Linked DNA regions of Rhinolophus ferrumequinum. The protein of the gene in region 1 purifies or fractionates together with the protein of each later gene. This does not show direct contact. Links are inferred from orthologs where the notes say so. Each region holds a gene or a part of one and is shown in the gene's direction. Other genes may lie near its edges.

Region 1 (7,635 bases):
AGGGCTATACAAAGAAGCCTGTATGTTCAGAGACTATGAGAAGTCAGGCAGGGAGTCAAATGTGTATTTAATGTTCATAAGCACCTTTGGTTTCCTTTAAGAATAACTGTATTTGTGGGAGAAAACACATTATTAACTGCAGTGAATCTGTTTAGCTTACAGGTGCTGTAATCTATGTAGTCCAGAGAAGAAAAATGGAATATCAAGAGGAGAAGATGGGTTCAAAGAATAAGGATGGATTCAATGAAAATGTACAATTTTGGAGGCCAACACTATTGACCCAAACAATTTTGGATACTTATACGCAGCCCTTCTTCTGTTGCTGGTATGGGGTGGGATCTAGCACTTGGTGAAAATGGGAGAGATGGCCACCTTCATACATTCCTGATAGAAGTATAAACTACAACAACCCTTTGGATAAACAGTATGTAGTATGTATTGAAATAGGAAATGTCACTGATAGAGTGGTTGCATCACTGGGAATCTCCCTGTGGAAATAAAAGCATTCTGTAATAAGGAAATGTGTATAAGGATGTTTATTGCCGTGCTATTAGTTGTGACAAAAGCCTAGAACAATTTACACATTCATCAATAGGGAACAAATGGTACCATAGATGGGTATTTTCTGGATTCAGAATCTATTCTCTGTATTCAGCTGTTAAAAGACTGAGTTTGATGCCAGTCGACCTTGTCAGATATCCAGAATACACTGTTAGGTGAATAAAGCAATTGTGAAGTAATATGTTAGAATTCTTGTAAAACAAAACAAAACAAAAGCCCCCAAACCAAACTAGCTATGTTTTTATAAGTATGGATAAAGTTGGGGAGTGATACACAATCCAAGCAGTTAGCACTGATTACCTCCGGGGAGTGGAAATTGGAGGTGTACGAGGCAACTTTATTCATTTGCTTTTGGATTGTGCCACTTGTTACAATAAGGACATATTGCTTTTACAGTATAAAAGATTAATTGAAAAAACACATATTATTCAAATTATTTTTCATATACAAAGATGCTTAATCATATAGTTTTAACTGCTTTAAGCTGTCATACAAAGAAAAGTCCCAGGGTAAGTCTTTTTCCTAATTCTTCTTTTTCCAGACTTGATTTGATCTGGTGCAGCTTCCATCGGCCTTCTCTTGGAACCTATATTTCTCACAGAAGTTTGACATATATGCTACAATAAGCCCCACCAACATATCCACATTTATACAAGCATTGCGTCTCTGTGATACTTGTTGACCTTATGCATATTTCTGTTGGTTATCGCTCTAAAGCATATGTATCAGTTTTAGAAAGAGCTCTTCGTGTGCAGTGATTCTGTTTCATTCATATTTTACCTGCAGCATCATGTTACTCTGTCAAGTGAAAGTTTTCTAGTCCTCACCTTATAGTTAACAATTCAGCAGATTTTTACGCTATTGACCTTCTTGATCCATTCTTGGCTTCCATGACACCTGACTCTCTGCAGCACTCTAAAATCCGAAGCAGGAAGCAACACAATAAAGGGAATTAAGTGCTAATAAAATTTTGGGGAAGGGTGGAGGAGCAGGCTCTAGATGAAGAATAACTCCCAGGGCAAGAATAAACTGCCCCATCAGGGCAGCTGCTGCCTCTGAGGCTGCCCCTCTTACCTCTGACCCAGGGATCAGGAAGCTGGACTCAGGAAGGAACTACTTCTTCTGCTGACCCTGCAACAATTAACTGTGTCTTGACATCCAGGAAGCTGGTACATGGGCACTGGAATGCTAGGCAAAAAGCCTCAAGTCTCTGTGCTCTTGCTTCAGCAGAAAAATAGCCAGAAGGTGCAAAAAGCTGGCCTCCATCTCAGTTCTAACTTTCCGCTATCACATGAGTGTACTTCACTAGTTGAACTTATTTCAAGAACAGAATCCTAGCTGCAAATGGGCATTCATGTTTGTCTCTCCTGCCTGAATATAAGCCTGTAAGGGCAGAGACCATGTCCATTGGCTCATCACTGTATAACCTACCACTGTGCCCAGCACACAGCAATAATTTAACATTTAACATTAATAAGGAAACGGTCCTGGAATCAGGCAGTATTCTAAGCTCTTCATGTGTAATAACTCATTTAATTATCATAACAAACCTCAGATATAGGTATTATCATTCTCCCCAATTTACCAATGTAGAACAGGTACAAAGAGTTCAAGTAAGTTGCTAAGACCACATAGAGCAGAACAGGACTTGAACCCACCAGTTCAGATCCAAAGCCTGTACTCTTATTCAATACATTTTACTGCTTTAATATTTATTGAAAACGTGCCCATTTAAATGTTTACTGAATTGAATTATGCAGAAAATTGATCATAAACATATTCAGAATTATAGAACTCCTCTAAAGTTTAACATGTTTAACTATGGAGAAGATGGTATACATTGTTAATAGCATTTGTACTGGAAACTGGTAGTTTTTTTTTTTAATCCTTGCCAAACCCATGAGATAATCTGTCCAAAGGTGAATATTATTAGTAATTCAAGTAGGTCGAAGTAATATTCAAGGTCTTCACACCTCTTATACTCAGGAAAGCTTGAGAGCTAGAGAAATACGTTTGGATATATTTTGCTAATATCTCAGGAGAGCTGCGTTAATCAATGTAAAAAGAGTAATGAACATTAGGCTATATATCTTTCCATTCCTAGCTTAAGTGTTAAACCTTAGATAAGTCAATTACATTTTAAATGGTTGCTTTAATTACTCTTGGTTGTCATTTTATTGTGACTGAGAAGAGCAAAAATGCACAGAATGAAAAATTAGGTAACTTTCCATAGTTTAGCTCCATTACTGACGTGAGATGCTCTCACCTGTGTTTTCATTTTCATATTTAACAATAAATTAACACTTGTTAACTGTTATAAAGTTGTTCTGAGTAGTGTATGATGATGTTTGTAAAGTTCTTTGAACTGTTTGAGAAAGGTATTGATAAATATACAAGCACAAACCACTGAAATAGATTACCGTATATTTAAATTCCTATAGATTTTAAGATTGTACTATATGATTTTTGAAGCAATATCGAGAAGAGAAAAACAGTTGATTCCAAAGATGATGACTTAAATGGGCAGAGGTTTCTTAATGATACAGACTGGGAAACTGGAATACATCCAATTCTGGCTTCCTATTGAACTCTTGGTGAATGGGCAGCCATTGTCCCATAGGGGAGTGACTGGGAACTTCCTCAGCATGCTATACCTTCTAATTGGTTGTTTGCACAGTGGGGATTCATATGCTTTCTGGTAAGAGAAGTGTCATTCTCGCTGTGGAGGAACCACTTCAGCCACGGCTAACTTGCCCATGGATAAGACATCTTAGGCAAGCAAAAAATTGGAGTTTGTGTCAGTTTTAGGGCTGTCAGTTCATAACTAAAATTATGTGGAACACTATCTTGTGGAGTGAATGTCAACCTCGACTTTTTTTTTTTTTAAAGCTCTAAGCCCCCCCCCCCCCTTTTGGTAAACATACAATTTTTGTATTCTCCTTTAATGGTAATTGACATTTAAAATAAATTTTGTTAATAAATAGAAATCAAAGGAAAGGTAAATTTAGAATATGCTTTTCAAACTACTTAAGCACTCCTATCTTCTGAGATTTTTCATGACTGAAGATACATTCCTCTTGTGTAGCACAATCTTCTGTGAATGCTAGGCTATGTAGTCCAGAGAGCTATTCCCACATGGGCTCTGATACATGGATTGCACCTGAAAACTTGGACTTTGTGCCTACGCCTCCACTACTGTTCCCATTTGTCTCTCATTTATTTTCTAGACTACCTGGGCTGCTCTTTCATGGTAGTAACATCAGTATGTCTTTTGTTTCGTGGTACTTCCTAGGAATTTAAACTCAAGTAGGTTTATTTATAGCACATTTATTTGTTTCATTTAATGATTTTATCCCCATTACCTTGGCAATCGGTTAAAGATTTGTCAGCAACTTTGCTACTGAGATTTTTCTAATTTGGCTCAGTTTGCTACATGCCACCGTAAATGATGCAGATGGAATTCATTTCCTGTATGTTAACGTGACAATTGTTTTGGTTTGGGTCTACCATTAATCAAAACTGATGAATTGACTACAGCAACTGAACGCTGTAGATTTTGACTTTATTTTTAGCTTTATACGTGTGCGTTGTCAGATTTCCCCAACGACGCGTTTGCTTTTAAAATGAGGTTCGTTTCCTCATCTGCTTTTGCATCACTGGAGTATTCAGGAAGCAGAAGAGATTGGATTGGAATACGACACAGAATTTACCTCTACTAATAGAGGATCGGGTAGGATTTGAGAGAAAACCGACAAATCCCGGCATGTTTTCCAAAGAGAATATTTTTATTTCTAACCAGGGGACCTCAGGTCAGTCTCCAAAAGTTTTTGTTTTCTTTTTAGCGCAGACGAGAGGCCATCGGAGAGCCAAAAAGAGTGTCAGCACGCCCAAGCCCATTGGCCTCCAAGAGACCTTACTCTCCTTCCCGTCCACGAACAGCCACTACTACAATTCCCAGCAAGCATCGCGCAGTGCCGCAAAAGGAACAGGCCGTAGGCAGCGGCTCCGCCCTCCGCACAAAGCATGCTGGGAGTTGTGGTGAGTGAGTCTGACTACTCCTTCCTTCCGTTAGGTATTCCCGTTTGGGAGATGGTGATGCACTACCACAACGGGTTCTCCAGTTTTGTAATAGCAGCTAAGCGTGAACGAGCACTGTGCCCGCCTGCCTGGCAGTGCAAACCGCATTAGTTCCACGGAACTTGGTTCCGCCCCTCTCCACACCCGTTCCCTTGACAGCTGGGCTATGCTCCGGGCGCCGACGAGGCCGGGAGTGCGCAGGCGCAACAGCCCGCGCCTCTTAGGGCAGGACTCGAGGGCGGGACGAGTGCTAGGGAGTCCTGGCTCCCGGGGCGCGCACGTAGGCACGCAAAAGCTGTCACGTGGGGTGCCGAGGATCGCAGTGCGCGTGGCCGCGACGGCTGGTGTGAGGTTGAGTCAGTTGTGAGATCCGAAGCTGCTGACCCAGCGGGAGGCCTACCGACCCGGCGACAGAACGGCAAGCGTCGGGGTGCGGGAGCCGTGCGCTGGCCCCATCACAGAGCTCGGGTGAGCCGGCGCCACCGTCGTCCCCCGCCTCCAGCCAGCAAACCGCCGCCGCGGGCGCGCCCCCGCTCTGCGCTGTCTCCGATGGCGTCCGCCTCTGGGGCCATGGCGAAGCACGAGCAGATCCTGGTCCTGGACCCGCCCACAGACCTCAAATTCAAAGGTAGGAAAAAGGCAGCCCCTGACTGGGGTGGGGCGGGCGGAGGGCTTGATTCGGGGCGGGCGGTGGGTGTGGAGGGAAGGTCGGAGGCCGGGGCCTTAGTTGAGCGTCCCCTCCCCCACGCCCCAGCACTCTCGTTCTCCCGCGGCGCCTCGCTCCGGCCCTTGGCCTGCCTGCTCCGCAGCCGGGCCCAGTCCTTCGCTCGGCCGCTCGCGCCTCGGTGCGCGCGCCAGCCCGGGCGAGGCGGAGGGGCCAGGCCCTGGCGCCGCCGCCGCCATCTTGCGGTCCCGCGGGGGCGCCTCTTGGTGCTGCCCGCGCTGCTGCCCGCGTCTGGCACTTGTCCTTAGTCCTGGAGGGCCGTCGGGCGTTGTCTGGGAGGGCGTGGGTGGGCGGTGACCTTCGAGCTTACGCTCTGGTCTGCGGGGGAAAGGGGGGCTCTGGGGCTGGCGCAAGGGCCGCGGTCTCCCGCGCGGGCTGTCACAGGCGCTGGGAGGCGAGGCGCGGCGAGCCAGTGGCGCGGCAGCCCCTGGACTCGGTTCCGAGAGAGAACCACTCCTCGGCCTCCGCTGCCTCAGTCCGCCTTCTGAGGACGGGCTGGGTGGAGCCCGCCCTCGGCCCACGCCGAGGGTTTTGCTCCCTGCCTTTTTGCCCAGTTTGTAAGTCGGCTGTCAGGTACATCGAGCGCTAGGGAGGCGGAGAAGCCCACGAAGTCTTCTGGTTATGACTTACCCGGTTGTATTGGCAGAGACCCAAGCGCGTGCGGGCAGGAAAGCTCTGCGTCAGCCCGAGAATTGATAGTAAGTTAATAGGAGACGTCTTCCTGGTCCTCCGATAGGACATTTCAGCTTACCTTCCGCGTAGAGCAGACCTGGTATTTGCTCCTGTTTAGTCCTTTCATTTAGCTTTTTTTTGCTGCGGAATCTTAAGTGTTTGTGACTTTTGCCTTTACGTTTGCGGTTTTTCAACAAACGCCTGATAAGGGTGATAAGGTGTCACTCAGCACAATTATATTTTTCATAAGAAAAGTTGTAAATAGTTTTAGGAATTTTAAAAGAGTGTATTCTGGCATTATGTTAGAGTAGTATTATATAATTCCTTTATTTTGCAAGCTTTTTAGTGCATTTGTAAGTATCTTTGAATGGAAACGTAAGTGAGCTGCTTGTTAGGTCAGGATTGGTTTTAAGACAACTACGAAATACCTTGACGGGCACTAAGTGCATTTTACGTTTCAAGTTGGTGCGTGGGGCATGATTACACATAGTTTTAACTGGAAGAAAAAGAAAAGCCTGTGGGTAATTATGAAATTACCTAATTCAAATAGTCGTTATTTTAGATTGGAGGAATTTAGTGTAAACCTTTATGGTGTGTATTCTTTCCAGAATTTAAGTATTTTGCTTTTACTCTTTGACAGGCTGAGTTTATAGAGGAAATTTCCTTTATTGGATAACCGTGTGTGTTTTGCTGTTAGGGACTTGGAAGCCTTTTTAACTAGGTTTAGGCCAGGAAATACCGAAAGTTTGAAGCTTTTTCCCTAGAGAAGTTGTAATGTTGCCATAGTAAGAGACTTATAATAGAGAAGCAAGTTAACCAAAAACATTACACAATGACATCCGTATATTTTACTTATTTTATATATTGAAGAATTACTAGCTATGAGTATAGAATAGGCTGTTCTAGTGCTGTGGATGAAAGTAATTCACAAGGCCCATTTTTAAAAATTTGGACATCAATGACTACCTTTTAAAATTGACTGAAAAAGTGTTTCATTGAAAAGTTTATAGGGACACATTCAGTTGGGTCATTTATTTGGCAGACACTTACTGAAAGCTTGTTGCTGTCCCTGTATTCAGAGTATTTAAGCAATGAGTAATTCATTCAGCAGGTATCAGCTGAAGGGAGACATCAAAGGCATATAGATGTTATGTCAGAGGCAAAACAAGTGTGTATGAGGCAAGAAGCTCCTTGCTCCCTGCCCTCTCTTTCCTTAAGGAAGCATTCTGGGAAGAAGCTTGTTTTCCGTTGAGGAGCGGGGGAAAGGGTTGGGCAAGGGAGTAGTGTGGTTTGTTCTACCGCAGATGTGAGAGAATGTAGGGCTTATACTTAGATACCCAGGGGTTTGCTGTGTGTTTCTGTTTACAGGTGGGGTAATGGGGAGGATTGGGAAAGAGGAGGGATAGGATGAATTAGGTGACACTTGGTGGTATTTGGTTTCTTCCTCCTTAATGTTATTCTTTTAGTCAAAAGTAAGTACTTAGCTTTGACGGAATCCTCTCTGTATTCCAGTGCGCAGTTCAATAGTAAGTAAGGAGATTCATTCAGAATTAACAATCTCCTGATGTTCAGTTTGGTGATGATATAAAAACTCATTTAAC
Region 2 (7,934 bases), on another chromosome or scaffold:
AGACCCATTAAAATATTTAAAAAATAGAACCGGTAAACATGGACAAAATAAATCAACCTGCCAGCAAGTACTGTCTTTTCTGAATCTATCAGACAAGTTAAATTACAAACATAAGAATTGGAACTAGCTGCTCTTGATTTATTATTATCATCTGGAAGATCTTCAATTACTTTATACTTGAAACTTTGTTTTTATATTTTTATTTCCCAGTTTCTAGAACAGGCACATACCAGCTGCTTTTAACAAATGTTTATTGAATGAAAAAAGTGACTACTGAATGGTGGGTATATGAAGACTGTATCACTTTTCTTGAAATTTTCTGGAGATTCCTTGCCTTGTTGACTATACCTTTTTCTAGTTCAAAAAATAGTGGACTAATTAATTAGAATATAAGATATTTTGTGTGTGTGTGTGTGTGTGTGTGTGTGTGTGTGTTCTGAAAGGTCACTTGAATGTTTTCCTACCAACTGATTTTACGAAGAGTTTTAAGAAGTTGGATAACCATCATGACTCCCTTTCTAAACCATATTATAGTTCTTTATGTCTTAGCTCAGACTGTGAGCGCTTTGAGGGCAAGGATTATTTTTTGAATCCCTCCATAGGATTGACCACAGTGCCATGACAGTAAATACTTAATAAGTATTACCGAATGAATGAATAAATGCCGTTGGATAATTTTTATTTAAAGAATGCCTCTCTAAAGAGTTTCTTGTTCTCACAGCATGTCTTCCCCTTCCAGCTCTACCTTCTATTGCAATTGTTCTCAGGGCAGCGACATAGAAAATTCCTGATTCTCTCTGCACAGAGACCATCGAGGTAGATGAGGATGGTGTAGTACCACTGTTGTTGCTCCTCTCACAAACAATGTTTGCTCTCTTACGAAGACCTAATTAAACTGTTAGTTTCCCACATTCCTCTGAGGACTAAGCCACGGGTGATTTTTCCAGGCTTCTGATTTCTTAAATTGCCTATGCGTCAAAATTCTCCCCATCGCCATTATTGGTAACACCTTGACATAACTGAAAATTATGCCAAAGAGAAAATGCCCTTGCATGGAAAAGCCCTTGCCATTGCATGTGTAGCAAAATAACCCTTAATGCAGAAGAAACAAAATCTTTTCTGCTTTGTGAACTAGTGAAAATCTAATAAAAGTGTGTCTCCCCTGGGTACTTTACATCATTAGCATGCTGGCTTCACGCTTCGCTTTAACAAATAACTTACTTTAAAAGTTTCTCCCAGGAGAAGACAAGGAGCCAAAAATATCTTGGAAGAAAACTTTACCTAGCAACCTGATAAGGCTGTTTCATACAGTTTCTAAAATTTAACTTTATGCAGCAAAGGCTTTGTGATTTTTTTTGTTTCTGATTTTGGTATGTCCAGAAACTTCATGGCTAAGCAAGGAGAAAAAAAAAAAGTAATTCCTTACATGTGAGTAGCATTTATGGTTGTCGTTTTTTTTAATTAAATTTATTGGCATGACATTGGTTAATAAGATTATATAGATTTCAAGTGTATACTACTATAGTACATCATCTGCATATTGCATTGTGTGCTCATCACTCAAAGTTTAGTCTCCTTCCATTACCATATATTTGACCCTCTTTACTCTCTTCAATCTTCCCCCAGACCCTTTCTCCTCTGGTAATGTGGTTTTCATAGCACATTTATTATAAATGCTACTACCATAATTGGTTACCTACTACATTCCAGGATATGTGCTAACCATTTTACAGATGTACATATGTAACTTGATCTTTGCCACAAGCCCATGGAGTAAGAAGTATCACTAGCCCCATTTTACTAATGAAGAAACTGAGGTTTAGAGCAGTTAAGTAATTTGCTCAGTCATATAATTAATAAATGGCTAAACGTGGATTTACCTGACCTTAAAACCTACAGACTTATTTCATTTGGTGAGACTTGAAAAGTTAAGTGAACAAGTAACTCTTTTCCTTTTATATGCACAAATCTTCAGATGTTTATGTTTGTATCCGTCTTTTTCATCCCTTGTTTCCCTTCTCAAAGAAAGCCAACTTCCCACATATCACTTCATTTCCTCCCGCTACATCTGCTCTGAATTCCTGGTACCACCTTGCTGTACAGCTCCAGGTGATCTCTGTGGGTGGTACCTCGTGAAGCAAGACTTCAGAATGCAGTGTGAATGGTGCCACCTCTGGATTTCCTCCTCTCACGTTATCAAGAACTCCATCTCTTCCATCTCCCCTTCACCATCAGTCTCTCTCGCCTAGATTATTATTATCAGCATACGAACACAATGACCCTTGAACACGCAGCGGGGGTGGGGTGGGGTGGGGTGGGGTAGGTGGGGGAGGCGGGGTACCCCAATCCCAGCACAGTTGAAAATCCGAAAATCCGAGTATAACTTTTGACTCTACAGTCAGCTTTTTACATCCTCAGATTCTACCAACCAGGGATGGAAAACAGTATTTTCGATCCACAGTTGGGAATCTGGTTGGGAAAGCGAAAATGCTGTTTTCCATCCATAGTTAGTTTAATGCAGATGTGAAATCCGCGATACAAAGGCCTGACAGTGTTGAAAAAAATCTGCGTGTAAGTGGATCTGGGCAGTTCAAACCCATGTTATTTGAGGGTTAACTGTACTATCTTCTGCCTTAAAGACAAACAAAAAACCCAAGAAACAAAAACAATCAATCACCCTCCACCCTTTATTCCTCTCTCACTTGATTTTTCAGCAGCAATCAATATTTACCATCTTGAAACATTCTCCTTTCATGGTTTTTGTGCCATCACTTTCCTTATTTTCCTAATTCTCTAGCCAGTCCTTTTCTGTCTCTTTCACCGAATACTTTTTCTTTATCCATCTCTAAGTACGAAATTTCTTCAGGCCTTTATATGAGGCTTCTTTAATTCTCTTTCTATAGTCTCTTTTTAAATCATACCATCTATTCTTGTTTTTTAAAATACTCCCAAATTTATATCTTCACAAAGTTCTATTCTTATACCCAACCTTCTCCTTGACAACTTTCCTGGAATGTCTTACAAGCCTGTCAGACTTTACACTTGTCAAACCAGAGTTTCCCTGCTCCTTCCCATCTTACTCATCTCAGGACACAGCATCATCCTCATAGAGTTGCTTAGGCTAGAAACCAGAAATTTATGTTTTATTCCTTCCTTTCCCTTATCCCTGCATGTGATTCATCATCAAGTCCGGTCTATCTATTGTTATCTCCAAAATACATATCACATAAGTTCACCTGGTCTGCCGACCACCCTAATCAAAGTCTCTACACCATCTTCACTAGATGCTTTAATAATCACCAGCTATTGCTACTTCTTTTGTCCTACCCACCCCCCAATCTATTCATATAGCATCCAGGCTATTACAAGATGTAAATTGGATCACATCACTCTCTTAAAACATTTTAGTGGCTTCCATTGTGCTTCAAATAAAGTCCAACCCTGGCCTGGAAGGTCCTATATGATCTGGTCATACCTACCTCTCTAACTTCATCCCCAACACTACCCTCTAGGTGCTCTTCTTTGGTTCTTTAGACAGATCAGACTTTCCTGCCTTGGAGCCTCTAGACGTGCTATTCCCTCCGCTTATAAGCCTTCCCTACCCTCAACCTGGCTGCCCGCTTCTTATCCTCCAAGATTCTTCTTGTCAAGATTATCATTAATTAACCTCCACGTTGCTAATAGTGACGCTGACACATGTAGCACCTCTTCTTTCTCTTTGTGCAGCACATTTCCAGTTTCCCTACTAGACCCTGAGTTCCCATATTCAAGCAAATCCTGGGCATGGTATCATTTTATTTGTGAGTACGTCAGTATGTATGAGATAGAATTATTAAATGGTACCTAAAACCCCTTCTGTTCCTCAATGGCTTAAAAAAGGGAAGTGTTCATTGAATAGCATGTTGCTCTTCTCAGAAACCAGGTCCCTAGCACGGTGATTTTTATTTCCTGGATTAATCACCCTGTAAATTCTTAGAGGGGACGCGGTTGGGGGAGGGTGTTACAGCACCTAGCTTAGTGCTCTGCAATCAATAAAAAGAGGATGAATGAAAACAAACTCAATGTACTTTAGTTCTTTTTTATTTATTTATTTATTCTAAATATAGTTGGTATACAATCTTATATTAGTTATATTAGTTTCGAGTATACAATATAGTGATTTGACATTTTTATACCTTACATGTGATCACCCCAAAAATTCTCGTAATCATCTGTCATTGTGTAAACTTAATACTGTCGACTATATTCCTCTCCCCCTTTTCACCCATTCCCCTCCACCTCCCTTCTGGTAACCAACCATCCCCTTGGTCTCTGTTTCTATGATTCTGTTTGTTTTTGTTTTTATTGGGGGAATATTGGTGAACAAGTGTGTTTCCCCAGGGCCCATCAGCTCCAAGTAGTTGTCCTTCAATCTACTTGTGGAGGGCACAGCTCCCTGTCCCATGTGGGATTGAACCCTCAAACCTGCTGTTCAGCACTTGCACTCTAACCAACTGGGCCAGTAGGCCACCCTTCTATGATTCTGTTTTAGTTTGCTCGTTTTGCTTCTAGATTCCACGTATAAGTGGAATCATGATTATCTTCCTCTGCCTGACTTATTTCATTCAGCATAATACCCTCTAGATCCATCCATGTAGTCACAAATGGCAAGATTCCATTCTTTTGCCTTAGGCTTTTTAATTCAATCTCATCCATGGATATCTACAGCCTTGTTTTATCTTTGCTTCTGTTCCCTTCCTGAATTCATTCCTTTACAGGAAAATTTCAAGTTCAAAGCATTTTATAAAAACCTAATTATTTTAGCCTGTGAAGACTTTTTCTAAAGACTCACTAACAGACCGCTGCGCTTCAGAGGGCGGGGCTTTTCGCAAGCCCCGCCCACTCTCCTCCCTTCTTTTCCTCCTCCCCTTGCCCTCCCGCTCTTCTTCCCAACATCCCTAGCGCTCGCCGGCGTTCTTCAAGATGGCGGCTGACAGTGAGGTGAGGTGTTTACTTTCTATCTATACCTATTTCTAAGTTCGCTCCTCTGCATCAGCGCCCCGGCCCTCAATCTCTTTTTTTTTATCCTTTCCGCTCCCGTAGCCCGAGTCCGAGGTATTTGAGATCACGGACTTTACCACTGCCTCCGAATGGGAAAGGTGAGTCGTATCATTAGTTAGCAGTACTGTGGGCCCTGGCGTCCCTCCGCGGCTTCTCCACCTCAGACAAACCACACGTGACGCCACGTCTTTGAGAGTACTAAGACTGCAGGGCCCCCGGGTCTCCGCCTTCTCCTTTCTCGGGGCCGCAGGAAGCCTCTTCCGCGTCTCGCGTCTGGCAAATCCCGCCCCGCCCCCGTCAGCTGAGCCCTTAAGATCCGACTGTCAGAAAAAGTTTTGTTTTCCTCTCAGGCCGCTTTCCTTAGACATTGGTTGTTGCCCACCCGCAGAAACAATTTCTGTGGGTAACACTGACGTCCTGTTTTCATTTACGTTTACTCATTTGTTATCGTAAGCAGTAAATTTCGCAGCTGCTCTGTTTCCCTCTTATGTAACATTGATGTACCCTTTTTAGGAGGAGGCCTTCAGCGAACTTCTGGTGGTCGTCCGTCTGCCACACTCCCACTGTCTCCATCCTGTCTTTCAGGATAACTTTTTAAAATAGTCTGCCTGTGGCTTTGGAACGCCTTAATTCAAGTGGTTACATTTCAGTGGGTAATGTGCCCAGGCTTCCGCGTGCCTGTCATGGTCCATTGAACAGCTGAGTGAAATGTATCTCTGAAATTAATTGAAAGTCAAGTTTGTGGAGGAGTGGTAACTTAGAAGTGTCCTGTTGGGTGTCACAGAGACCCTTCGGTTTTCTGGGTTTTGAGATTCGTAGTTAGCTTGTTGCAACATTTTATAATCTTTCTGTTTGGGGAGAGGAAATTTGTCGATGTCATGTCGTTAGATGACTCAGGAAAATGTGAAAGATCCCTGCTGGAATAATAGTTTCACCTGTGGTACCTTCCAGAGAAGAAAAGTCAGTAAGGAGGCGTAACCACCCTGGCAGGGCTTTGTTGAACAGGTACTATGTGTCCAGAATTATAGTAATGGACCAGAACAGAAAATCCTTGATCCATATTTTAAAAAAACAAAACAAAATAGCAAGTAATTACATGGTAACCCAGCTAGCACTAGCTATAAAAATATTGGTTTCAATAAGCATGATATTATTGTGAATTACAGTTGTTGGAGATACTTTCATAGAAAAGATAGAAAATGAACTGGGCCTTGGAAGTGGGAAGTGGTGTGGGTAGACATGAGAAGGTACTGACATGAGTAGAGACAGGTGAAAAGGAACCTTTGGGACTTCATGAAGAAATGCTTTATTGGAGTGAAAGTTTTTATCTGCTCAAGGGAAATAAGATTAATGAAGATAGGACCAGGTTATAGACAGCCTTCAAAGCTAACTGAGTAAAGGAATCTCTAGATTCGGTGCTTTAAGACCAGTGATTCTCAGTCTTTAGTGTGCATCAGAATCGTAGTTTCTGATTATGTCTGAGAGCCCAGATTTTGCATTTTTAACAAGTTCTCACCAAGGGGACGCTGATGTTTGCTTGTCAGGAGACCATAGTTTAGCAGAACCATTAAGAACAATAGTGAGACACCCTTGATTTTAGTGGCAAAGTGATATGATGAGACTTGTTTCAGGGGATAAAATTCAGAGGTATAATTAAGGCAAGTGACTTATTTGATCCATAGTTAGGTTGGTGATTTGGAGACTGGAGAGAAAGAATAAAAAGGAGGGAGGATTGTAAGACATTTCAAAGAATTTAGATAGATACACTTGATGAAATGTAAAACGAGAAGGAATCAAACATGGAACTGCAGTTTCTTTCCTGAAAGAATGAAAATGAAGTGGCAAAGTGAGAAGAATGCAATTTTAGACGTATTGGATGTGAAATAATAACTTGATGTCTTTAAGGTAGAAAACTGTAACCTGAATCTTGGAGGTTGGGAGTGGGGTGAGGAACATCAGAGTACTGAATGGAAAAATGATCACTTCCCCCAGCTAAACATTTAAAATATCCTAAAGTAGAATATTAAATCCTTTAGCTCCTTATATGGAAATACTTGTGAACACAGTTATGAGTACTACCACAAAGTAGGAAATTTGGTTTTTGACTTTTATGCTCTTGTTTCTAGAATGAAACTAGTGTTTTTACAGTTCATGGGATGGTGTTAAAACTTTGGAGTCTCTTAAACTTTGAGTTTAATGTTTGAATGAAAGTTCTCGTCAGTATGTTATGAGCCATACAATTTATTGAGAGGACTGAATAGAAGCCCTTCACTGTTTATCATTTGTCCATTGAAAAATACTGAGTGCCCATGTTGCAAGCACAATTCAGGGCGTTAGGGATGTGGTGATCAGTAAAAACAGATGATGCCTGGCTTTTACTGAATATACCGTCTAGTGGAAGAGACAGATATGAATTAAATGGTAATGGAAATGAGTCTATAATTGCGATTGAAATAAGAGCTGAGAAGGGGAATAAGCCTGGACTTACAAGAGCATATAACCAAGGAACTTACTATAGAATGAGGAATCAAAGGAACTGACCCTTCAGCTGAAATCTGGAGCTTTCAGGCATAAAGTTATAAAATTTTTCTATACTTTCTCAATACTTGCGGGATACAGTCCAATTTTTCTGTTTTAGCTAGTACTGATAGAATTCTTGCAATAAGTATTTTAAGGTGTTCTTCTTTTGCTGCGAAAATTTTATTATTTTAAATTATTTTTATTATAATACCTCATAGTAGAATTAGAAAGAAAAATCACCTGTAAGCCTACCACCAAGAGATAGCTACTGTTAATATGTTTTAGAAAATTCCTGCTAATCTGTGCGTGTTATAAACTTGTTGTATCAAACCATATTAATACTTATTTCTATAGTTTTCATTTTTTCATTTACT
Region 3 (7,717 bases), on another chromosome or scaffold:
CAGTATTTCGGGGGTCCAAACAACAGGCGGCTCTGGAGCGAGGAAGCCCCGCGGAGGAGCAATGGTGTGGGCCGGGGAGGAACGGCTGCTGGAAGAGCTGGTGGAGGGCGGGGCGGCGTGGCCTCCGTCCGAAGAGAGCGCCTGGGCCCCAGGAGTCTAGCACTCGGGAGACCGGCGAGCCGCAGCTGGTTGTGAGGGAGAAAGCTCCAGGAGTCGGAAGAGTTGCTACCCTCCCGGGGCGAACCCGGTAGTGCCGACCCGGCGCCGGCGGCGGCCAGGGGCGGACCCAAGCCATATTGCGCAAGCGCCGAGGTAGCCGTTGCCAAGGCGGCGAGTACCCACGCGCCGCAACCGCTCTGCAACTCTCGGGTCCCAGACTTTCGCCCCGCGCAACACCGTTGTCCTCGAGTGTGTCGGCACCCCCACCTCAGCGCCGGCCGCTGCCCGGAGTCAGCCGAACCCCGCCTTTCCGCTCTCTGTCCCCGGCCCTGACATGGGTGACCTGGAGCTGCTGCTGCCGGGAGAGGCTGATGTGGTGGTGCGGGGACTGCGCAGGTTCCCGCTGCGCGAGATAGGCTCCGGAGGGTGAGGCAGCTGGATCGAGGGTCGAGCGGAGTCAGGCAGTCAGTCCTTGAGTGGGGGGAGTCCTGACAGTGGGGGCAGGGGTTGCCCAGTGTGGAGGGGCCCGCAGGTGAGGAGGTAAAGCTATCTGAAATTGATGTATACGGCACTGAGCCACCTCTGGGGTCTCAGGACCAGGTTAAGCTTCAATGGAACCCAGCCCTCACCCCATTCAATACTGTACACATGTGCACCTAAATGTATGCACACACATCCTCTGGGGCAGGTGGAACCAGCAGCATGAGAACCTGGAGAAGCTGAACATGCAGGCCATCCTTGATGCCACCGCCAGCCAGGGTGAGCCCATCCAGGAGCTGCTGGTCACACATAGGAAGGTAGGCTGGGGTCACTGGCAGGGTTCCTGCCTTCCCCCCACCCTACCACTCTACCCCTCAGGAATACCCTGGGTGCCTGCTCTTCCCTCTAGCTGGTACACCTGTCCTCCCCAAAGAAGGAGGAAGAGTGTGTTACACATTAGATTTTGCACCCCTGGCGAGCCAGGCCGGGTGCAGAGCATGGCTGACGAGGGAGATACTCATGGACCCTAGAATAGCGTAGGCTGCAGGGGAAGGGACCAAGTTCTAAAGACATTCCTGAAAGGACTGTCAGGCTGGAGGGGGCCCCCACTGAAGTGCGGGTGGAACTTTGGCATGGAAGGAGGCAGCCTTCCCAATATGAGACAGAGGGAGTTAGAAACCAGGGATTGGCTCGGTTGGAACATGAGCCTGGAGGTGGCATCAGGAGATGACCTGAGATATCACTTGACAGAAGAGTTCCCCTGCAAGGAAAAGGTGGAGCCCCCTACTGGGAGGTCGGGTAGGAGGTAGGAATAGGGCCCTGGGTAAGAGCCAGGCCAAGGCACACCAGAACATTGGCAGGCCAGAGGACAGGGACAAAAGGGAGGGCATGAGCAGGAGGGCTGGGGGCTACCTGGATGGGGTAGGAGCGGACAAAGGCACATGTACAGGCGGAGCAAGGCAGCATGGAGAGACGGCAAGGGCCAGTCACAGGGAGCACAGGAGATGCCCCCACAGAGATGTCGGGGGCAACGGGAAATGAAGGTCAAGGTGCAGGAGAGAAGTTGAGAAGGTACTCCTGGAGCGTAGGAGAGTCTAGGGGCACCGGGGAGTTTGAGGAGAGCTGGGATGGGCTGAGCCAGGAATGGGAGGGTTGCCAGGCCAAGGCAGGCCCACCTCATCCCTGTCCTTCACCCCGCCCCAAAGATCCCAACGCTGGTGGAGGAGCTCATCGCAGTGGAGATGTGGAAGCAGAAGGTGTTCCCTGTGCTGTGCAGGCTGGAAGACTTCGAGCCCCAGAACACTTTTCCCATATACATGGTGGTGAGCTGGACTCCTGCTTCATACCCCGCTCACCCCTTCAGAGAGCCCTGGACTAGAGAGGGGAGTGGTAGCCCCTGTCCCTCCATCAGCATCCTCGGACCCTGTTCTCCTTTTTATCTGCCAGGTACACCATGAGGCCTCCATCATCAACCTCCTGGAGACAGTGTTCTTCCACAAGGTGAGCCGCCAGTCCTGCCCACCACTGGCTACTCCCCAGGCCAGGGCCTGGCGGCAAGAGGGGTGTATCTGTGGGGAGGGGGCTTCAGAGACAGAATATTTCCCCTCCGCTTACCCCCAGGAGGTGTGTGAGTCGGCAGAGGACACGGTCTTGGACCTGGTGGACTACTGCCACCGCAAACTGACTCTGTTGGTGGCCCGGAGTGGCCATGGAGGCCCCCCTGAGAGGGAGGAGTCCCAGTACAGCACCCCCATGCAGGTGGGCTGAGGTTCCCTGGGGTTGTCAAGGGCTAGACCCAGGCTCCCCCAGCCACGAGCACATGTGCTCCCCAGGAGCTGCAGAAGCAGGCAGAGCTGATGGAATTTGAGATCACACTGAAGGCGCTCTCCGTGCTGCGCTACATCACAGATTGCGTGGACAGGTGTGCTGGCCTGCCCGGCCTAGGGTCTGCAGTGCAGGGCTGGGAGCCTGGGCCTGTCGCCTCTGCTCACCTCTCTCTACCCTCGCCCCTAGCCTTTCTCTGAGCACCCTGAGCCACATGCTCAGCACCCACAACCTGCCCTGCCTCCTGGTGGAACTGCTGGAGCACAGTCCCTGGAGCCGGCGGGAAGGAGGTAAGAGCCTCCTCCCCCTGCCTAAGCCCCAGCTCACTGCTTCCAGGACAGCCTCCAGGATTGATGGGAGTTGGCAGTTTGAACACAGGCAGACAAACTCTGCCCCCTAGCCCACAGAGGATACCAGGATGCCTCACCCAGAGTGGGCCTCGACCTGGGCTCTGCAGCAGGCGAGGCCCATGTGTCCACTACTGAGGCTTCACCATGCTCTGGAGCAAGCAGCATCACAATCTGGTCAAGACCTGTGCCAGGCAATGGTCTGTTCCCCAACCCACGCAGCCACTCTCTCAAGGAGCCTGCAACGCCTGCACCCAATATGCTGGTTCCTCTCCCCCCCAGGCAAGCTGCAGCAATTTGAGGGTGGCCGTTGGCAGACAGTGGCCCCCTCAGAACAGCAAAAGCTGAGCAAATTGGACGGGCAGGTGTGGATTGCCCTGTACAACCTGCTGCTGAGCCCTGAGGCCCGAGCCCGCTACTGCATCACGAGCTTTGTCAAGGGACAGCTACTCAAGGTGGGGACCTCCTCCCATACTGTCCCCACAGTCCTAGCACTGTCTCAGCCCATCACTGCTGCTTATCTTTGCCCACCTCCCTCAGCCCCAGTCCTGTTTCCAGACGTTGGGCCTCAGGTAACACAGCAGCCAGTGGGACGTGGGCCCTGCAGGAACCCTCAGCCCAGCCTAGGCCTTCTCTGTCCTTTGACCCTCTGGTCAGCACCACTTCACACTGGCTTCTCCTTGACACCCTTTCAGCTTCGGGCCTTCCTCACAGACACACTGCTGGACCAGCTGCCCAACCTGGCAGACCTACAGGGTTTCCTGGCCCAGCTGGCCCTGGCTGAACCCCAGCCCCCTAAGAAGGATCTGGTGTTAGAGCAGGTAGGTACTAGGCAGTTATTTGCTCAGGACCACTGCCCACTTTGCCAGCTCCTCCCTGCCATGCTCTCCTTCCTTCCCCCAGATCCCAGGAATTTGGGAGCGCCTACAGCAGGAAAACAGAGGTAAGTGGCAGGCTATTGCCAAGCACCAACTGCAGCAGATGTTCAGCCCCTCAGAGCAGGACCTGCGGCTGCAAGCCCGAAGGTGAGGCCTGCTGAGCTGAGTGCTGGGAGGGATGCAGAAGGCATGGACGTAGGCAGGGATGCTCCTGTGCCCCCACCCATGAGGCCCAGCCAGCCCTCCCTGACCCTTTTCCCAGGTGGGCTGAGACCTACAGGCTGGATGTGCTAGAGGCAGTGGCTCCAGAGCGGCCCCGCTGTGCCTACTGCAGTGCGGAGGCCTCGAAGCGCTGTTCACGGTGCCAGAATGAGTGGTATTGCTGCAGGTGAGGGTATCCTGGGACCTTAGCGGGTCCCTAAGCCACACTTCCACACCCTCCACAAGCGCTGCATCCTCACAGGCCCACTTGCCTGCAGGGAGTGCCAAGTCAAGCACTGGGCGAAGCATGGAAAGGCTTGTGTCCTGGCAGCCCAAGGTGACAGAGCAAAGTGAAGACTGCAGCTCCTGAGAGCGGGCCACCCATTCCATACACCCCAGCTAGAATGTGCCCCTGAACCTCAGCATTTCCGCCTGGCTTCTGCAAGAGCCCCAATTTCCCAGGTGGTGAGCCCAGCAGGCGGGCTGGAGCTGCTGCCCCATCTTCCCCAGCAAAGCGCTCCCCGCTTCCTGCCGCACCCAGCGGGTAGGCTTAGGGCGCTGCCTCAGCTGGGGCAGGAGGCCTGGGGGGAGGAGGGACAAGGGCGGGGGCCGGATGTGGGGACCCTCTTCCTCTTGCACAGTAAAGCTGGCTTCCAGAAACACGCCTGTCTCCGCGTGGCCCTTTGCGGTCGTCGTCGTTAGGGGGAGGAGAGTTGCTCGTGGGATGAAGGGAGGGAAGGAAAGGAGGGCGGGGACACCGCGAGAGTCCACCGCGGCCCCACTCTGCCTGCGGGCCGACACAGTCTGGGCACCCCGGTTTCTACTGAGCTGCTCTCCTCGGCTCTCGCCCACCGCTCTGCCTGGATCTCAGGGGCGGCGCCGCATCGGGGCCCGCCCCGCGGTCCTACCGGCCCCGCGCTCGTTCGCGCCCAGAGCCGGCCGGAGCCTGGGCCGACCGGGCCATGTCCGCTGATCCTGAGCTCATTGAACTGCGGGAACTGGCACCGGTGGGGCGCGCCCGCCCGGGTCGCACCCGGCTGGAGCGTGCCAACGCGCTGCGCATCGCGCCTGGCACAGCGCGCAATCCGGCAAGGCAGCCGGTCCCGGGCCGAGGTCACCGCTTCCAGCCTGCGGGGCCCACCACGCACACGTGGTGCGACCTCTGCGGCGACTTCATCTGGGGCGTCGTGCGCAAGGGCCTGCAGTGCGCGCGTGAGTAGCGGCCCCACGCGCTGGCGAGAGCGAAATGGGTGGTCAAGGGGCAGCACCGTCGCTGCAGTTCAAGTTGTGTGTGTGTGTGGGTGGGGGAGGGTCGGTGGGGACAGTCCCTGAGGACCAGGTCCGTTACCTTTGCCCCATTTTGGAAGAGAGTGTAGGCACATGTTTTATATCCTTGCTGCGCCCCCCGTGTCTGGGGCACAGTTGGGTAGAGGCAGTTGTCTGTAAATAATAAGGTGCTGATTTCAAGTTTCTTACCTTTAAAATGCCTTGGCCCTTCTTGAGAAAGGCTTTGTGCCTACCAGTCTCTGAGTCCATATTCCCAGGACTGACTCTTCCCAAAGGTTCACTCACCAATGTCCCCTTCCAGAATCCCTGGGGTGAAGGGAATTTTCGCACCTATGGGAGGGGGCTTGGGAAAAGTTAGAACCTTGGGCGGGCCCCCTGCAAGCAGGAATTTTGATGATAGCAATTATGTATCACAGACCCTGTCAATTAGGTGCTAAAACGTGAGACCCAGACACCCACACACCAGCAGCCCTTCTGCCCTCCTGGTAATCAACAGCAAGCAGAAGTTGCTCTCCCACTGGCTATCTGCGAACTAAAATCATTTGGGATGCTTGTACAGCCCTCCAAATCCCTATGCCTGGCCCCTACCTCAGACCTGTTTAATCAATCACTGGGAGTTTATCAGGGATTTTTAAAAACATCTTTCTAATGTGCAGCCTGGGTTGAGAATCACTGCTCTGGCCCATTTAAGAACTTAGGGAAGGTGTCCCAGGCCTGTCTGTGTGTGCATGGAGACCCTCTCATCCAGTACAGGACTCTGTCCTGAATTCAGCTGGGGGACACCGGAGATGTGGCAGAATACAAGGCATGAATAAGGGCTGGGACACTGCAGTGTTCGCCAGCAGGAATAAAGTGGCCATGGAGATGAAAAACAGGACAATTTGGGTATGTGTCAGAGGCAGAAACGGGGGAGGAATAAAGGACAAATTTGGCTTTGGGTTTTTGTTGTTTTGTTTGCCTCAAACAACTGGGAGAATAGTAGCAACTTTTGCTGAGACAAGGAACTCTGGTGAGGGTAAGGAGAAGTGGAAAAAAAGTGAGTTCAATTTTGGCCATGTTGAACTGAAATGTCTATTAGACATCGAAGTGAAGGTACTGACACATAGGAGTTGATCTGAGAGGGAGGCCACTGATGGAAGCCTTGGATCCTGGGTGAGTGTACACAGAGCAGAGAAGCGATCAAGACTGAGCCTCTGTGACACTGCCTGCCATTAGATCTGGGAATTGAGACAGAACCAAGAGGAGCTGCAGGGAAGTAGGAGGGAAAATCGGGGTCATGGGGGTCCATGAGAACCAAGGGGAGCAGCATCAGATTTTGAGGTGAGGATAGAGAAGGGACCACCGGAATCGGCTTTGAGCCTGTTGCTGAGGGACCGAGACCAGGACAGTTTCCTGGAGGGAGGGGCAAGCCCTACTGGAATAGGTAGAGAAGAGTGAAGGCAAAAAATTACAGTGCATGTAGATCAGTGTTGATAAGCTTTAGTGTGAGGGGAGTTGAGACAGATGACTGGAGGGGGCCGTGGATTAAAACTATTTTCCCCTTCAAGGGCACTGGGAGGGGGCTGACAATGTGGAAGGGGGACGTTCTGCGCTAGGCGCTAGAGCAGGCCTGGATTCCCTAACAGCCCGATGCCTTCCTGCCCGTTTCCGGACGCCGGGGACCAACACTAGAATCTGTGTGGCAGTGGGCGGTAACGGGGCCTGAAATGGCCGGTCATGCAGAGCCCGGTGGTCAATGGCCTTCACCCCGGGGCTTCTCTTCCGTCCCCGGGACGCATCGCCAGGCTGGCGCTCCTCCGTCTCACGGCCAGGCCTCTCTACAGATTGCAAGTTCACCTGCCACTACCGTTGCCGCGCGCTCGTCTGCCTGGACTGCTGCGGGCCCCGGGACCTGGGCTGGGAACCGGCGCTGGAGCGGGACACGAACGTGGTAAGTGCGGGGCCGACGGCGAACGGGCGAGACAGGGACGCGTAGACTAGCGGGCCGCATTGCAATGCTTTGGCCCTCCCGGCGTTACGCGCAATGGGCGTTCTGACAGCAGATTTTCCCGCGGCGGAGAGTGGCTAACTCTGCGCGCGCGGGCTCGAAGGGGTGCCGAGGGTGCCGCCTTCGTGCGGACTGCCACAATCGCCCAGGCTCTGCGCCCGCGCAACTTCCGCACCTTTCCGCATCCGGTCCTGCAGCCACGCTGGTGCACATGCGCACACGCTCCGACGTGGTCCCTTGGGGAGGTGGGGCCTGCGGGTGGAGCTGAGTTGAGCTGCCTGGGCGCTGAGATCATTCCCGGAGGCGATGCGCGTGTGGCCCCGCCCCTCGAAGTTCCTCCTCCAATGAGACCAGAGCTAGACTCTGCGGGCTATGTTTCCGTGCTAACGGTCGTGGTGCGGGCACTGGCCCCAGCGCACGCGCACACGGAGAAACGCGCCCGCGCACGCGCGCCTGGGGCGGTGGTGGTAGGCTACCGGCGCACCGGGCTCTGGAAGTTGGCGGGCGGGCGCGGCGATGGGCGAGGCGGACGCGGGGACGCCGTCTTTCGAGAT

Evidence for each region. The genes of interacting proteins can lie anywhere in the genome.
Region 2: the proteins of VAPA (region 1) and RAB3GAP1 purify together in Homo sapiens (affinity purification with mass spectrometry; 4 studies listed by BioGRID and IntAct, counting the BioPlex papers as one, with this or other methods). This does not show direct contact. The link is inferred for Rhinolophus ferrumequinum from reciprocal best matches to the Homo sapiens genes VAPA and RAB3GAP1.
Region 3: the proteins of VAPA (region 1) and RASSF1 purify together in Homo sapiens (co-immunoprecipitation; 3 studies listed by BioGRID and IntAct, counting the BioPlex papers as one, with this or other methods). This does not show direct contact. The link is inferred for Rhinolophus ferrumequinum from reciprocal best matches to the Homo sapiens genes VAPA and RASSF1.

The regions. Positions count from the first base shown.
Region 1 is NC_046302.1:8,139,182-8,146,816, reverse strand, and holds the start of VAPA (vesicle-associated membrane protein-associated protein A), read left to right. Parts: upstream 1-4,546; 5' UTR 4,547-5,187; coding exon 5,188-5,266; intron 5,267-7,635. UniProt on the Homo sapiens protein: Endoplasmic reticulum (ER)-anchored protein that mediates the formation of contact sites between the ER and endosomes via interaction with FFAT motif-containing proteins such as STARD3 or WDR44.
Region 2 is NC_046291.1:83,103,942-83,111,875, reverse strand, and holds the start of RAB3GAP1 (rab3 GTPase-activating protein catalytic subunit), read left to right. Parts: upstream 1-4,913; 5' UTR 4,914-4,962; coding exon 4,963-4,980; intron 4,981-5,080; exon of another isoform or gene 5,081-5,082; coding exon 5,083-5,138; intron 5,139-7,934. UniProt on the Homo sapiens protein: Catalytic subunit of the Rab3 GTPase-activating (Rab3GAP) complex composed of RAB3GAP1 and RAB3GAP2, which has GTPase-activating protein (GAP) activity towards various Rab3 subfamily members (RAB3A, RAB3B, RAB3C and RAB3D), RAB5A and RAB43, and guanine nucleotide exchange factor (GEF) activity towards RAB18.
Region 3 is NC_046300.1:6,259,662-6,267,378, forward strand, and holds the start of RASSF1 (ras association domain-containing protein 1), read left to right. Parts: upstream 1-4,696; 5' UTR 4,697-4,851; coding exon 4,852-5,101; intron 5,102-5,958; exon of another isoform or gene 5,959-6,061; intron 6,062-6,999; coding exon 7,000-7,106; intron 7,107-7,547; exon of another isoform or gene 7,548-7,679; coding exon of another isoform or gene 7,680-7,717. Other genes in the region: ZMYND10 (zinc finger MYND domain-containing protein 10), read left to right, coding at 494-585, 848-956, 1,845-1,961, 2,086-2,139, 2,260-2,397, 2,472-2,560, 2,653-2,753, 3,093-3,265 and 4 more. UniProt on the Homo sapiens protein: Potential tumor suppressor. Required for death receptor-dependent apoptosis. Mediates activation of STK3/MST2 and STK4/MST1 during Fas-induced apoptosis by preventing their dephosphorylation.